Linked DNA regions of Arabidopsis thaliana. The protein of the gene in region 2 interacts with the protein of the main gene of each other region in a pairwise test. Each region holds a gene or a part of one and is shown on either strand. Other genes may lie near its edges.

The links. The genes of interacting proteins can lie anywhere in the genome.
Region 1: the proteins of MYB65 (region 2) and AGL89 interact in a two-hybrid assay, tested with the Arabidopsis thaliana proteins (one large-scale study listed by BioGRID).
Region 3: the proteins of MYB65 (region 2) and AT2G39020 interact in a two-hybrid assay, tested with the Arabidopsis thaliana proteins (one large-scale study listed by BioGRID).

Annotation. Positions count from the first base shown.
Region 1 is NC_003076.8:9,734,745-9,737,837, forward strand, and holds AGL89 (AGAMOUS-like 89), read left to right. Parts: upstream 1-1,780; 5' UTR 1,781-1,906; coding exon 1,907-2,578; downstream 2,579-3,093. Other genes in the region: CDC20.5 (cell division cycle 20.2, cofactor of APC complex-like protein), read right to left, coding at 152-1,504.
Region 2 is NC_003074.8:3,600,320-3,605,708, forward strand, and holds MYB65 (myb domain protein 65), read left to right. Parts: upstream 1-1,716; 5' UTR 1,717-1,886; intron 1,887-2,029; exon of another isoform or gene 2,030-2,210; intron 2,211-2,564; exon of another isoform or gene 2,565-2,671; 5' UTR 2,672-2,736; coding exon 2,737-3,108; intron 3,109-3,227; coding exon 3,228-4,236; coding exon of another isoform or gene 4,237-4,262; exon of another isoform or gene 4,263-4,329; coding exon 4,330-4,610; 3' UTR 4,611-4,853; downstream 4,854-5,389. Other genes in the region: AT3G11450 (DnaJ and Myb-like DNA-binding domain-containing protein), read right to left, coding at 5,140-5,389. UniProt on the Arabidopsis thaliana protein: Transcriptional activator of alpha-amylase expression that binds to 5'-CAACTGTC-3' motif in target gene promoter. In vegetative tissues, inhibits growth by reducing cell proliferation. Promotes the expression of aleurone-related genes (e.g.
Region 3 is NC_003071.7:16,293,115-16,297,010, forward strand, and holds AT2G39020 (Acyl-CoA N-acyltransferases (NAT) superfamily protein), read left to right. Parts: upstream 1-2,025; 5' UTR 2,026-2,277; coding exon 2,278-2,988; 3' UTR 2,989-3,381; downstream 3,382-3,896. Other genes in the region: PIP2E (plasma membrane intrinsic protein 2E), read left to right, coding at 285-425, 504-632. UniProt on the Arabidopsis thaliana protein: Probable protein acetyltransferase with dual specificity triggering both N-alpha-acetylation (NTA) and epsilon-lysine acetylation (KA).

The sequences.
Region 1 (3,093 bases), on a different chromosome or scaffold from region 2:
ACTCAACAGTTTACATATATTTTTGGTTTTGTATTAAGTATTAACTATATAAAATTCATGAATAATGAATCAGGAAAAAAGATGAATACATTGCTTCTCTATACATTATTACCTATCAATGGTTTTCTCCTTGTTAGTCTTCACAGTAGATTCACCTAATATGATTCACATGAGCAAATGGATCCGTATATTTTTTTGAAGCAGCTTTCTTGGTGGTCTTAGGTGGTTCTCCAAAAACATTCCAAAGCCTGAGAGTCTCGTCACCGGCTGCAGAAGCCACGGTACAACCATCCGGACTCTGTGCCATAAAAAGAACTCTTGATGTATGACCATTGAGTTCAGCCATTTTCACCATAGATGGGTACTTCCAAAGTGTAAGCTGGTTCTGTGTAAACCCATGTGAGCTAAGCAACTCTCTTTCACTTTTGCTCCATAACAATGAACAAACTTGAGAGCCAGTTTCTACTGAATTCAAGCAAGCCCCAGTGTGTGTATTCCAGAACTTAATCTTCCCATCACCTACACCACCACCAGTTGCAAGCAAACTCGCTTGGAAAGGGCACCAAGCAAGAGCTCTCACTGCAGCTGTATGTTCCTCAAACCTATGCAGCCATTGCCTAGTTGGGTTTGAGGAAGCGACAGAACGATGATCCCAAATGTGTACTACATTGTCGTTACCACCACTTGCTAGTTTTTTTCCAGATTCTGACCACTTAAGACCACAAACCTCTTCTGTGTGACCCAAGTAAGTTTCAACAATAGATGATCTGATCCTCACATCATTGTTGACGATCTTTCCATCCATTCCTCCAGTTGTTAGAATGTGATTGTTCCATGCCAATGATCCTACTCTTGACTCGTGACCACCTCTCAGTGTTCTCACTTGACGATTGGAAACACAATCCCAAAGCTGGACTTCACTGTTGTCAAGACCAATTGCCAGATCAAGACCATCTTGCGTCCAGTTAATACTTGTGACAGGTCCCTCCTCTTCATCAATGGTCACAAGCTTATATGTAGAACCACTAGACGCATCCCACAAGTAAACAGTGTCTCCCAAAGCAATGGCTAAGACATTAGAACTGCCCCAATCCAACAAGTTAAGGTAGAAGTCATCCGCAATTCCAGGTGCATCCAAGACTCTCTCACTATTCTGAGGAATGTATCTACGAGGCTTTACGGATATAGGTTGTTGGTGAGGAGGATCAGAGTGATTACTAGAAAGCAGAGCTTTAGGTTTGTTTCTGAAAGCGAGAATCCGAGTGCGATTCTGATTCATAGCCTCAGCCAATTGCGTCATGTAGGCTTTTCTTGATGCTGAAGTTACCTCATCGACATTACGTTTTCTTCCTTGGGTAAGAGCGTAGTTAGCAAAGTCGAAATCCATGGCCGATCTATTCGGTATGAATCTGTCGAAGTTTTCCTTGGAAAGTTTCCGACGGAGAAAGTGTTCTACAAGTGGACACGAAGCTTGTGCCTTTAAATGTGAAGAAGTGTTCATCATAACTGTGATTAGAAGAAGACTAAACGAAATATGACAAAGAGACAAATAAAACCTGCGAAGAAGGAAACGTAAAGTAGATTCAAAGCAGAGAGACAGAGAGCGAATAGCGAATAGTGAAGGAAGATTGTGGCAATTTTAGGGTTTTTTGCTTTCTTTAATTCATTACATAGAAATTGTCAATTACGTACAACGGTTAGATATTAGTAAAATGGAAATCGGATCTAATTCAGATTTCCGTTAAAAATAAATAAAAGATTTTCATTACAGTTACTGAAGAAAAATGAAATAAATATGGAAATCGAATTTAACAAATTCAATATAAACCCTAATCCCAATTCTCTGACTTTATTTTCTCTTTGCAAGAAACTAAAGCTTCTTTCTTTCACCGTGTAAACAACAACAATGGATTCTTCAATGTCGACGAAGAAGAAAACCAAATTGTCTGTGAGAAACCAAACTTGTTTCAAGAAATCGTCTCTTTCTTCTTCTTCTACTGCAAAAAAGACCACGAATTTGTCTATGAGAGAAGAGACCATGTTTAAGAAAGCCTTGGAGCTTTCAACTCTGTGCGACATCGAAGTCTGTGTCATATATTATGGTCGTGACGGAGAACTCATCAAGACATGGCCGGAAGATCAATCCAAGGTTCGAGACATGGCTGAGAGGTTTAGCAAACTACACGAGAGAGAGCGACGCAAGAAAAGAACAAACCTTTCTCTGTTTCTACGTAAAAAGATCCTCGACGACAATAAATTGTCGGAGAAAGTCTTAGAGATGAAGGATTCGCTAGAAAGTGGTCTACGGGTATTACAAGATAAGCTTCTGTTACTCCAACCCGAGAACCAGACCGAGCTAGGTCAGAGCCGTGCGGTTTCTTCCACAACGAATCCATTGTCTTCTCCTGAGGATCATCATCATCAACAATGGACAGAACCATTGGTGACTGGTGTGTCAAACACAGAGCAAGACCTATCGACGTCACCATTGAGTAACCATCAGAGCAAATATTCAGTCTTTGTCTATAACCATGACAGCGGAAGCTTCTATCAAGTCCCTGACTCGATCTGTTTCTAGTTTAGATTATGAGTTTTAATTGTCTGATTAAGAGTTTGTGTTGAATTGTATGTTTTTCCTAAGTATTATCATTATGAATGCTATTCTCAATTCAATTTTTGTCTGAGTCAATTAGTTGGCTTTGTTGGATTTAGAAGCCAATGGTGAATTTCCAGATTACAATGCCTTGTGATTTTCCGATTAAAATTCTTCCAAGCCCTAACAATGGAGATTTGTTCAAGAGATCTCCTAACTCTCCTCTATGGTTTGTTACACACACATCAATACATGCATAACTTGTGCAATAACCTTCTATCTATTTATATACAACTCACTAGACTCTCAAGCTAGTGGTTAAACAATCTGTTTCTTCTTGCTCTGTTTTCACGTGCCTTCTCTGCTTCTCTTTGCTTATTCACGAGCCTCAACGAATCCGTTTGAGCTACCACACGTGCCTCCTAGCTTATCATAGGTCTTTTGATTCATGTTTGTACAAGCTTAAGTAAAGTGTATCCGGAGGATTGACATATACAATA
Region 2 (5,389 bases):
CAAGCCATCAACTATGATATCAAATTACCAGATCACTCATGCTAAAGAATCCATCGAAATGTATTAAGTTTGTCGAAGTTCGTTACTCTATATGGTGGATTTTAAATATTTGATTTGGTTAGATAATTTTTAGTTATACCGTCAAATAAATTTCCAACTATTTAGTCAGCGAATTTAAAGATCAAACACTAATCATCAGTAATGGTTTGCTGAAAATCGTCAGAATTTCTTTTACTAGTGAGCAAGTTTTAAGATGAAATAAAAGGTGTGAAACGAAATAGAGAAAAGGTAGAGAGGGAAGAGACAAGCGTGAGACACGGAGAAGTGGAACTGATCTCTTTACGTTCCTCGTACGTTTACCAAGTTACACTGCTTTCCATATTTCTATATTATTATTCCCTCCATCCCTTTCTTCACATACTTTATGTAACTTCTTTTTAAAAACCAATTATTTGTATTCTAATTGATTGAATCAAATAGTTTCTATAAGACTATAAATAAACATAATTCGAATTCAAATTCGGCAGCGTTGAAAGATATATGTTGAACAATACATTACCACACTTATTAGTAGAATATATTTATTTCTAGAGTCTCAAAACATAAGCCAAAAAGCCGAAAGCACCTTTTTATCTTTGTGGGTTTGGTGCAATGGATCATATATATGGTACATTAGCATTTTTATCATCTTTCTCTTTTATCATTTTTCTTGTATTGTCGGGCTTGCGTCAGGCCTGTACTTATCTTCATACAACATTATTTATGTACATAACCAGAATTCAGGCCACAAACAATACGTGAGCTATTCAGGATCACGAGGTCCACGCGCTCGCTCACCTTCCTCTTTCCTCAAAGGCTTTAGCTAATTGTTAACTAGATGGAAAACAGTGCTATGGTTGAATTTTAACATATTGGTTACTACTATCTCAATAATATTTTGTAATACAAATGTCGGTAGATGAATTGATATACCACCTTCATGGATGATGAAGATCCACTTTTAAAGCCCAATTTTTTGTTTTTCTTCGATGCCGAAATCAATATGGGCACATGTGGATCCTACTATAGCAGTTCCTCAATTTGAGTTAAAAATCTTTGGGTTTTAGGCTTTTAGCCCAAGGAAAAAAAAAAAAAAAAGAACCAATTTTTATTTTTTATAATTTAATAAGAACCAAATTATTCATCATTATATACTTCTGACAACAAATATTTACTATGTATATTATATAGTGAAGAAGCTGTGACATGAAACAGATTCAAGCCAATCGTCTGATTAGCTAGAGAATCACTGTCATAATCTATTAGTTGACAAAGAATGAATGACACTAGTACAGTAGTTAATATGAGTGCGGATTCTCGTAATCTCAACGTATCTACGTCAATAAGCTCATTTATACATCATTAAATTAAAGTACAACATTCCAATTTATGTTTGGTGGGTTCCTTTTTATCAAGACGTATACGATTATACCAAACCTTTATCCATAATTATTTTTAAATGATACATTTCGTAAATATTAATATTACGATTATTATTTTTAAACCTAAAATCTTTGAATTTTATAAAATTTTAAAATTGATAAAAAAGATACGGGATTTTTTTTGAGTTAATTGATTTTCTAATAAAGATATTGGATTCTTAGTGTTTTTTTTATTCTATAATTTATTTATAACGCGGAAATAAAAAGCAAAATAATTAATTAAGTGAGGAGAGTTTTAATATTTTGATGTTTATTTCTAAATTCATCTCTTTTTTCCACTTCTGTTCAGCTCTGATGAATCTTCTTCCTCTGTTACTTTGATCTCTTTCTCCATCCTTGTCTCTGTCGATTCTCTGAGATATCTTCTCTCGAGCTTTTTCCCGCGTTATCTCTCTCCCACTCCTGGTAATATTTTCTTCTTCTTCTTCTTCTAGATTGTTCTTCCGTTACTAGCTCTTGAATCCATTTCCACGGATCTCTGATCTTCAATCTCTGTTTTCATTCTCTCTAATCAGTTGTTGAGCTTGATATTTTTAGCTAACGTTTTTCCGATTCAAATTTACGATTTGTGTGTTTTCCGATAACCAAATCGGATATCTTCAGCTCAAACTCGAGCTCCGATTTCGTCTCATGTTGTAGATCTCGACGACTTCGTATTTGTCTATGGTTTGCTGATTGTATTCAGATTGCTAGATACTCAATATAGAGCTTACTTTTACCTCAGCTAGGGTTCGTCTTTGTTGTACCTTTAGTTGCTGCTTTTTGATTCTTGTATATATGGATTTTGATTGTTCAATCGTAATTTCTGGTTCATTGAAAATCGATTTATTAGTATTCGAAATTGGAACTAAGATTTAGAGATTGCGAATTTGATACAGAAGTCATTTCAAAGTATCAGAGCTATAAAATGGTGCTTAGCTAGTTTCTGGTTTCCATTTCTGGATTTTCATTCAAATACGAAATCTATTCGTCAAAATGGTGTCACTAGTGTTCTGTAGAAATTTCATTACAGACTTTTAGTTGTTGCCTAGTATCAACTCATATCTCAGCGGTAGATATGATGAATCTACTAGACATATTTTTCAATTATCGCCTCCTTTTACAAGTTTATCATGTCATTATTTTGTTGATAACTACATGAATGCTGGCTGAAATATTAATTTGTCTCTTTTTCCTCTTAATTGGTTCAGGTTGGAGCTTGATGTCTAAATTGTTATTGAACTGCTGGAGTCTGTCTTGCTTTAAGTAGAAAGAGATGAGTTACACGACGGCGACTGCTGATAGTGATGATGGTATGCACTCCAGCATCCATAATGAATCACCAGCTCCTGATAGTATTAGCAATGGCTGCAGAAGTAGAGGGAAAAGAAGTGTCCTGAAGAAAGGACCATGGACTTCAACTGAAGACGGGATTTTAATTGATTATGTAAAGAAGCACGGCGAGGGTAACTGGAATGCTGTGCAGAAACACACTAGCCTGGCCCGTTGTGGTAAAAGCTGTCGTCTGAGATGGGCTAATCATCTGAGGCCAAACTTGAAGAAAGGAGCATTTAGCCAAGAAGAAGAACAGCTCATTGTTGAAATGCACGCCAAGATGGGAAATAAATGGGCACAGATGGCTGAACATGTAAGTAGTTTTGTAACTGCGGAAGCTACCTGATCATGGTCCATTTTCATATTTTGATATTCTTTGTGAGCCTAAAGACTAATTAATCTCTGGTATGATGTTTTCTTCTTGTTTACCAGTTACCTGGTCGAACAGATAATGAGATAAAGAATTATTGGAACACTCGTATCAAGAGGAGACAACGAGCAGGCTTACCACTTTACCCTCCTGAAATCTATGTTGATGACCTTCATTGGAGCGAAGAGTATACAAAGAGTAATATCATAAGAGTAGATAGAAGAAGAAGACATCAAGATTTCTTGCAGTTGGGGAATTCTAAAGATAATGTCTTATTTGACGATCTAAATTTTGCTGCTAGCTTGTTACCTGCCGCTTCTGACCTATCAGATTTGGTTGCATGCAACATGCTAGGAACTGGCGCAAGTTCTTCCCGGTATGAGAGCTACATGCCACCAATATTGCCTTCCCCAAAGCAAATCTGGGAATCTGGATCTCGGTTTCCCATGTGCAGCAGTAACATAAAGCATGAATTCCAATCGCCGGAACACTTTCAGAATACGGCTGTACAGAAGAATCCCAGATCTTGCAGTATCTCGCCTTGTGATGTTGATCATCATCCTTATGAAAACCAACATTCGTCTCATATGATGATGGTTCCTGATAGCCATACAGTTACGTATGGCATGCATCCTACTTCTAAGCCCTTGTTTGGGGCAGTGAAGCTGGAGCTCCCTTCATTCCAATATTCAGAAACTAGTGCATTTGATCAGTGGAAGACGACTCCGTCACCTCCACACTCAGATCTCCTTGACTCTGTTGATGCCTATATTCAATCTCCACCACCATCGCAGGTAGAGGAGTCAGATTGTTTCTCTTCATGCGACACCGGCCTACTAGATATGTTACTTCATGAGGCCAAGATCAAAACTAGTGCGAAGCACAGTTTGTTGATGTCATCACCCCAGAAGAGTTTCAGTTCAACTACTTGCACGACCAATGTTACTCAGAATGTACCACGTGGCAGCGAAAACCTGATCAAATCAGGAGAATATGAAGATTCCCAAAAGTATTTGGGTCGCTCCGAGATTACAAGTCCCTCGCAACTTAGTGCAGGTGGTTTTTCATCAGGTGAGTTGATCAAAGTTACTTGTTGATTGGTATCTTATCTACTCTTGTTCCATATTGATTCTTATGCAGCTGTGTTGGTTTTCGTATATGAAGCTTTTGCAGGGAATGTTGTAAAGACAGAAGAGTTGGATCAGGTTTGGGAACCAAAGAGAGTTGATATAACACGGCCTGATGTTTTACTTGCGTCGAGCTGGCTTGACCAAGGCTGTTATGGCATTGTTAGTGACACAAGCAGCATGAGTGATGCGCTTGCACTTCTTGGTGGTGACGACATTGGGAACAGTTACGTGACTGTTGGGTCATCATCAGGTCAAGCACCACGAGGCGTCGGGTCTTATGGATGGACCAATATGCCTCCTGTTTGGTCGCTGTAACAAAATGAACCATATCACACAATTTGAATCTTTCTGTATTTTCATGCACCTGGCTTACATGACTTGGTGGTTTGTTATAGTTGAGAGAAGATTTGTGGACTTGGTAAAAATTTGGATTTTCTTCACCTGATTTTTCTTATACTTGGAAGGCATTTATATATACTCATTTCTTGTTCCTGCTACTTCCATCATACTAGCTCGATTGGTTTTGTTTAGATTGTAAAGAAGCAAATCAAAATTAGGGCTTATTGTAGCCCAACCTCTAATTGGGACCGGAGACACAGCAGCATGAGCGATGCGCTTTATTTCACAACTTGAAACTAGACGCTAATCAAACGTTACATAAGATTATGTAAAAAACAACATACTCCATAATAGTGGCTCCAGCACTCTCAATATATAGAGACATCAAAGGGAAATGAATCATTACAAATAATAAAAAAGTTTTAGGTCTTGCTTCTCGCAAAGTAACGGTGCCCCAAGAGGATTAAAACCCAAAATTCTCATGGGACTCCGAAATGATTTTACCTCATACTCCGGTTTTCTTGTTTCTAATGATTTCCTTAAGCTCTGCAAACTTCTTCTTGCATTGGTTCATCGTTTTACCAGGGACAGCTGCAGCTACTCTCTCCCATCTTTGGCTTGTCTCTTTCGGGAATGTCTTTAAAGCTTGAACCAAAGCTCTTTCTTGCACAGTCGACCAACTATCTGCGTCTGAACTTCCACCTACTTCACCATTGTTGTCTGAGCTTTGACTGCTCGAGCTTTTCCCCACAACA
Region 3 (3,896 bases), on a different chromosome or scaffold from region 2:
TCCACGTCTCTTCATCACATGTCTCTGTATGTAAATGGTCCATATTTTGCATTTCCACAACGACCCATGTGTATGTGTACATACATTTTCCATGATATTTGTCCTTGCAAATATATATGATTCGTTACAAAACAAATCTTTCTGTTATGCACATGGTCATTAATTGATTCTTTTTCCCATTCTAGTAATCTTGGTACCTATGATTCATTCAAATTTAAATGTCTATGTCATTGATTGTTAATGACGTAAGTTGATTTATTTTGTATGAAATTATTGAATTGTAGGTATTAGCACCATTGCCAATTGGATTTTCCGTGTTCATGGTTCATTTAGCCACAATTCCAATTACTGGCACCGGAATAAACCCGGCTAGGAGTTTTGGAGCTGCCGTCATCTACAACAATCAAAAGGCTTGGGATGATCAGGTTTGTATTTTCACCATCTGATATTCGTTCTTGGGTTTTAAATTAACATATTAATGAGTTTTGTTTTAATAACTACAGTGGATCTTCTGGGTCGGTCCATTTGTGGGTGCAGCCATTGCAGCATTTTACCATCAGTTTGTGTTGAGAGCTGGTGCAATGAAGGCCTATGGGTCAGTCAGGAGCCAGCTTCATGAGCTCCATGCTTAAATTTGTTATTTCGAACTAGCGAAGAGGTGAAGAATTCTTTGGGCCAGGAAGGGAGGAAGGAAAAAAAAAAGGGACCCAAATCATATAAAAGAAAAAACGAATATTATTTAAGATGGTCGGTGAGTGACATTTACTGTGTCTTATTTGTGGCTTTGTGGGGGAGGTTTGTGTGTAACAATTTGTAACGTACAAGCAATGTATGTGTTATTTGATGCATATGATATTTATATATCTACTTATTGATGATTCTATCTTTGATCAATCATCATTATAACTTAAATTTCATAGAAAAAAACACAAACTCCAAAACCATAAACTACTATTGTTCCTAAATTCTCAGGAATGTCAATGTCGATCACAATCTTAAAATTTCATGCTAAAGATCCTTTGGGTCTTTTCCATCAACGGTGCATCCTATCAATCACTGAAAAATAAAGGGCACAAACATTTGTAATCGTCTCAAACAAACAAATAAAAAATGTTGAAATGATAACGCCATGGATAAAATGTTGAAATAAAAATAAATGATTCACGACACATGTTTAGCTATGTATAGGAGAAAAACCAAATCCTCTCACTTTTCTCTTTTATCTGGTTCCCCTCAGATTTCTTTACTATCTTGTTCCTCTTACTTTCCTCTATTTCTTTGGTATTGCCATCTAGTGAGATCTTAACATCTCACAACTTATATGGCACCTTCCTCTATTTTCTATATTTTTTCAACCGCATAATGAACATGACACCAACAATCAGAAGTAGAAACCCAACCAATATCCACAGGTGTGAAACATAGAATTACCAGATTTAGCATCAGTCTGACACATCTTGTATGGATACTAAGAGAGAGGGTAGAGTCTAGCATGATTCTTGAGAATAGGTAGATAATCGGCAATAAATGCAACATTGTTTACACTAGTAAATTGACATATTTAGCAATAAAAATGTATATATAAATGTTAATAAAACCAATAAAAGAAATCTATTTCACATTTAATATCATGCGATTGTTGTAAGATGTGGTAGCTTAGCCGATCTTCCAAATATGCAAGATCTAGCTCATATTTTTGAGCATGTGTAGTTTAGGTTCAAAATAATATCTTAGAGAAAATAAAGTTGGTAATTAGAATATTATTAGAAATCAACTCACACACATCGTGTGGGTTTATTGGTATCATATATTATTCTACCTATTTTATTTTATTGAACAATGTGTCTTTAAAAATGAATAAGTACATAATTTTTTAGACTTATATTTTGAAATTTTGTCTATATTAATACTTACTATATATGAATTGAACTTGTTAAATATTGTATTGACTTTTGTAGTGGTAAGAAGAAACAATAAAAATCCATAAAAACAATAACTTGGTTTAGCTTTTGGTTACGTATGTAAGGGGGTTACTAAAAGTAAAAACACTGGGTTTGGGCTGGGTTCAGTAACTCTCATACAAAATCCATAAAAACTTTGGGCTGGGCTCATTCAAAATCCATACTTATTTTATTACTTTCCTAATTAAAAAAAATACACATAGCACAAGAAAAACCACCGCCCAAGCTTCTCTAGAACCTCTCCATCGTTCTCACTATCACTCCCCCCCCCCCCAAATATAAACCCTAATTTTCACAATCACAGTACCAAAAAAAAATGGCAGCCGCCGCACCGCCACCGCCACCAACAGCAGCACCGGAACCAAACATGGTAGCACCACTAATTTCACCAATCGGCCACCCAATGTTCTCCCGGATCCGTCTGGCAACACCGTCCGATGTCCCATTCATCCACAAACTAATTCACCAAATGGCAGTCTTCGAACGTCTCACGCATCTCTTCTCCGCCACCGAATCAGGTCTCGCTTCAACACTCTTCACCTCTCGTCCTTTCCAATCATTCACAGTCTTCCTCTTAGAAGTCTCTCGTTCTCCATTTCCAGCAACCATCACTTCATCACCATCTCCCGATTTCACACCGTTTTTCAAAACACATAACCTTGATCTCCCGATTGATGATCCGGAGAGTTACAATTTCTCGCCGGATATGTTGAACGACGTCGTTGTAGCTGGGTTTGTTCTGTTTTTCCCGAATTACTCTAGCTTTTTGTCCAAGCCTGGTTTTTACATTGAGGATATATTTGTGAGAGAGCCTTATAGGAGGAAAGGGTTTGGTAGCATGTTGTTGACTGCTGTGGCCAAACAAGCGGTGAAGATGGGTTATGGAAGAGTGGAATGGGTTGTTCTTGATTGGAATGTTAATGCTATCAAGTTTTATGAGCAGATGGGTGCTCAGATTCTGCAGGAGTGGAGAGTTTGTAGACTTACTGGTGATGCTCTTGAAGCTTTTGATCAGGTCAACATCTAGAGATTGATGCTGTGTTGCTGAGAGTTATCGAATCAGATCACTTCCTCTTGCTTTTAAAGTTTGTGTTTTTTTTCCTTCTTCTTGTTGTTACTTTATGCAAGTGTTGGCATTGATGATGATGATGATGATGAATTCTCTATGCTTACTTGTTGGATACTGAATGAGAAAAAAGAACCCTTTTGTTGAATGTATGAAATGTTTCGAGTTTTTAAAGTAAGAGTTATGTATTTGTGTGATTCCTCGTCATATTTGCTTGACCAAAGTATTTGTTCTGTGTTATGGATTTGAAGAATTGGTTTTGTGATCCTAGAGGACAGTGAATTGGAGAGTACAGATAAATTGGTCAAATGAAGAAATTGTGATCAAATGTAGAATGGTTAAGTTGCTTGCGAGGCACACACAAGTCTAATTGCAAACTATATAGGTTAAGCCTTCTTGCTTCAGTTACTATAGAAGACAATAAAAACTAAGTTTTAGTAGTCTCTGACTCTCTGTCTTGTTGTATAGAGAATTAAGAAACCGTGAGCATGAAACAAAAATTCATCTATTTTTATTACTACAACAAAACATTCCGCTTTTGTGTTAACATAGAGAACAAAAGACCCCATTTTACGAAAATGATTCTACTCTTATAAATGGGCTTAAGTGGGTTGTAAAATTTGTAGAAGAATGCACAAACACTTCAACATCTCTAGTTGTCCTACTGGCTTTAAAGAACATCTCTTTGATTGAGATTAATTCACTTGCAATTTATCGGTAAAACTTTAAAACTGAACCAAAAGTAAAAAAGAGTGAGACTAGTTTTTTGTTTGTTAAACATGAAACTGGACATAAAACTGGACAGATACATTCTACTAATATCATGCATTCCGTTAAGTATTTTGAACAAAAAATCTCATCTTTGGAAG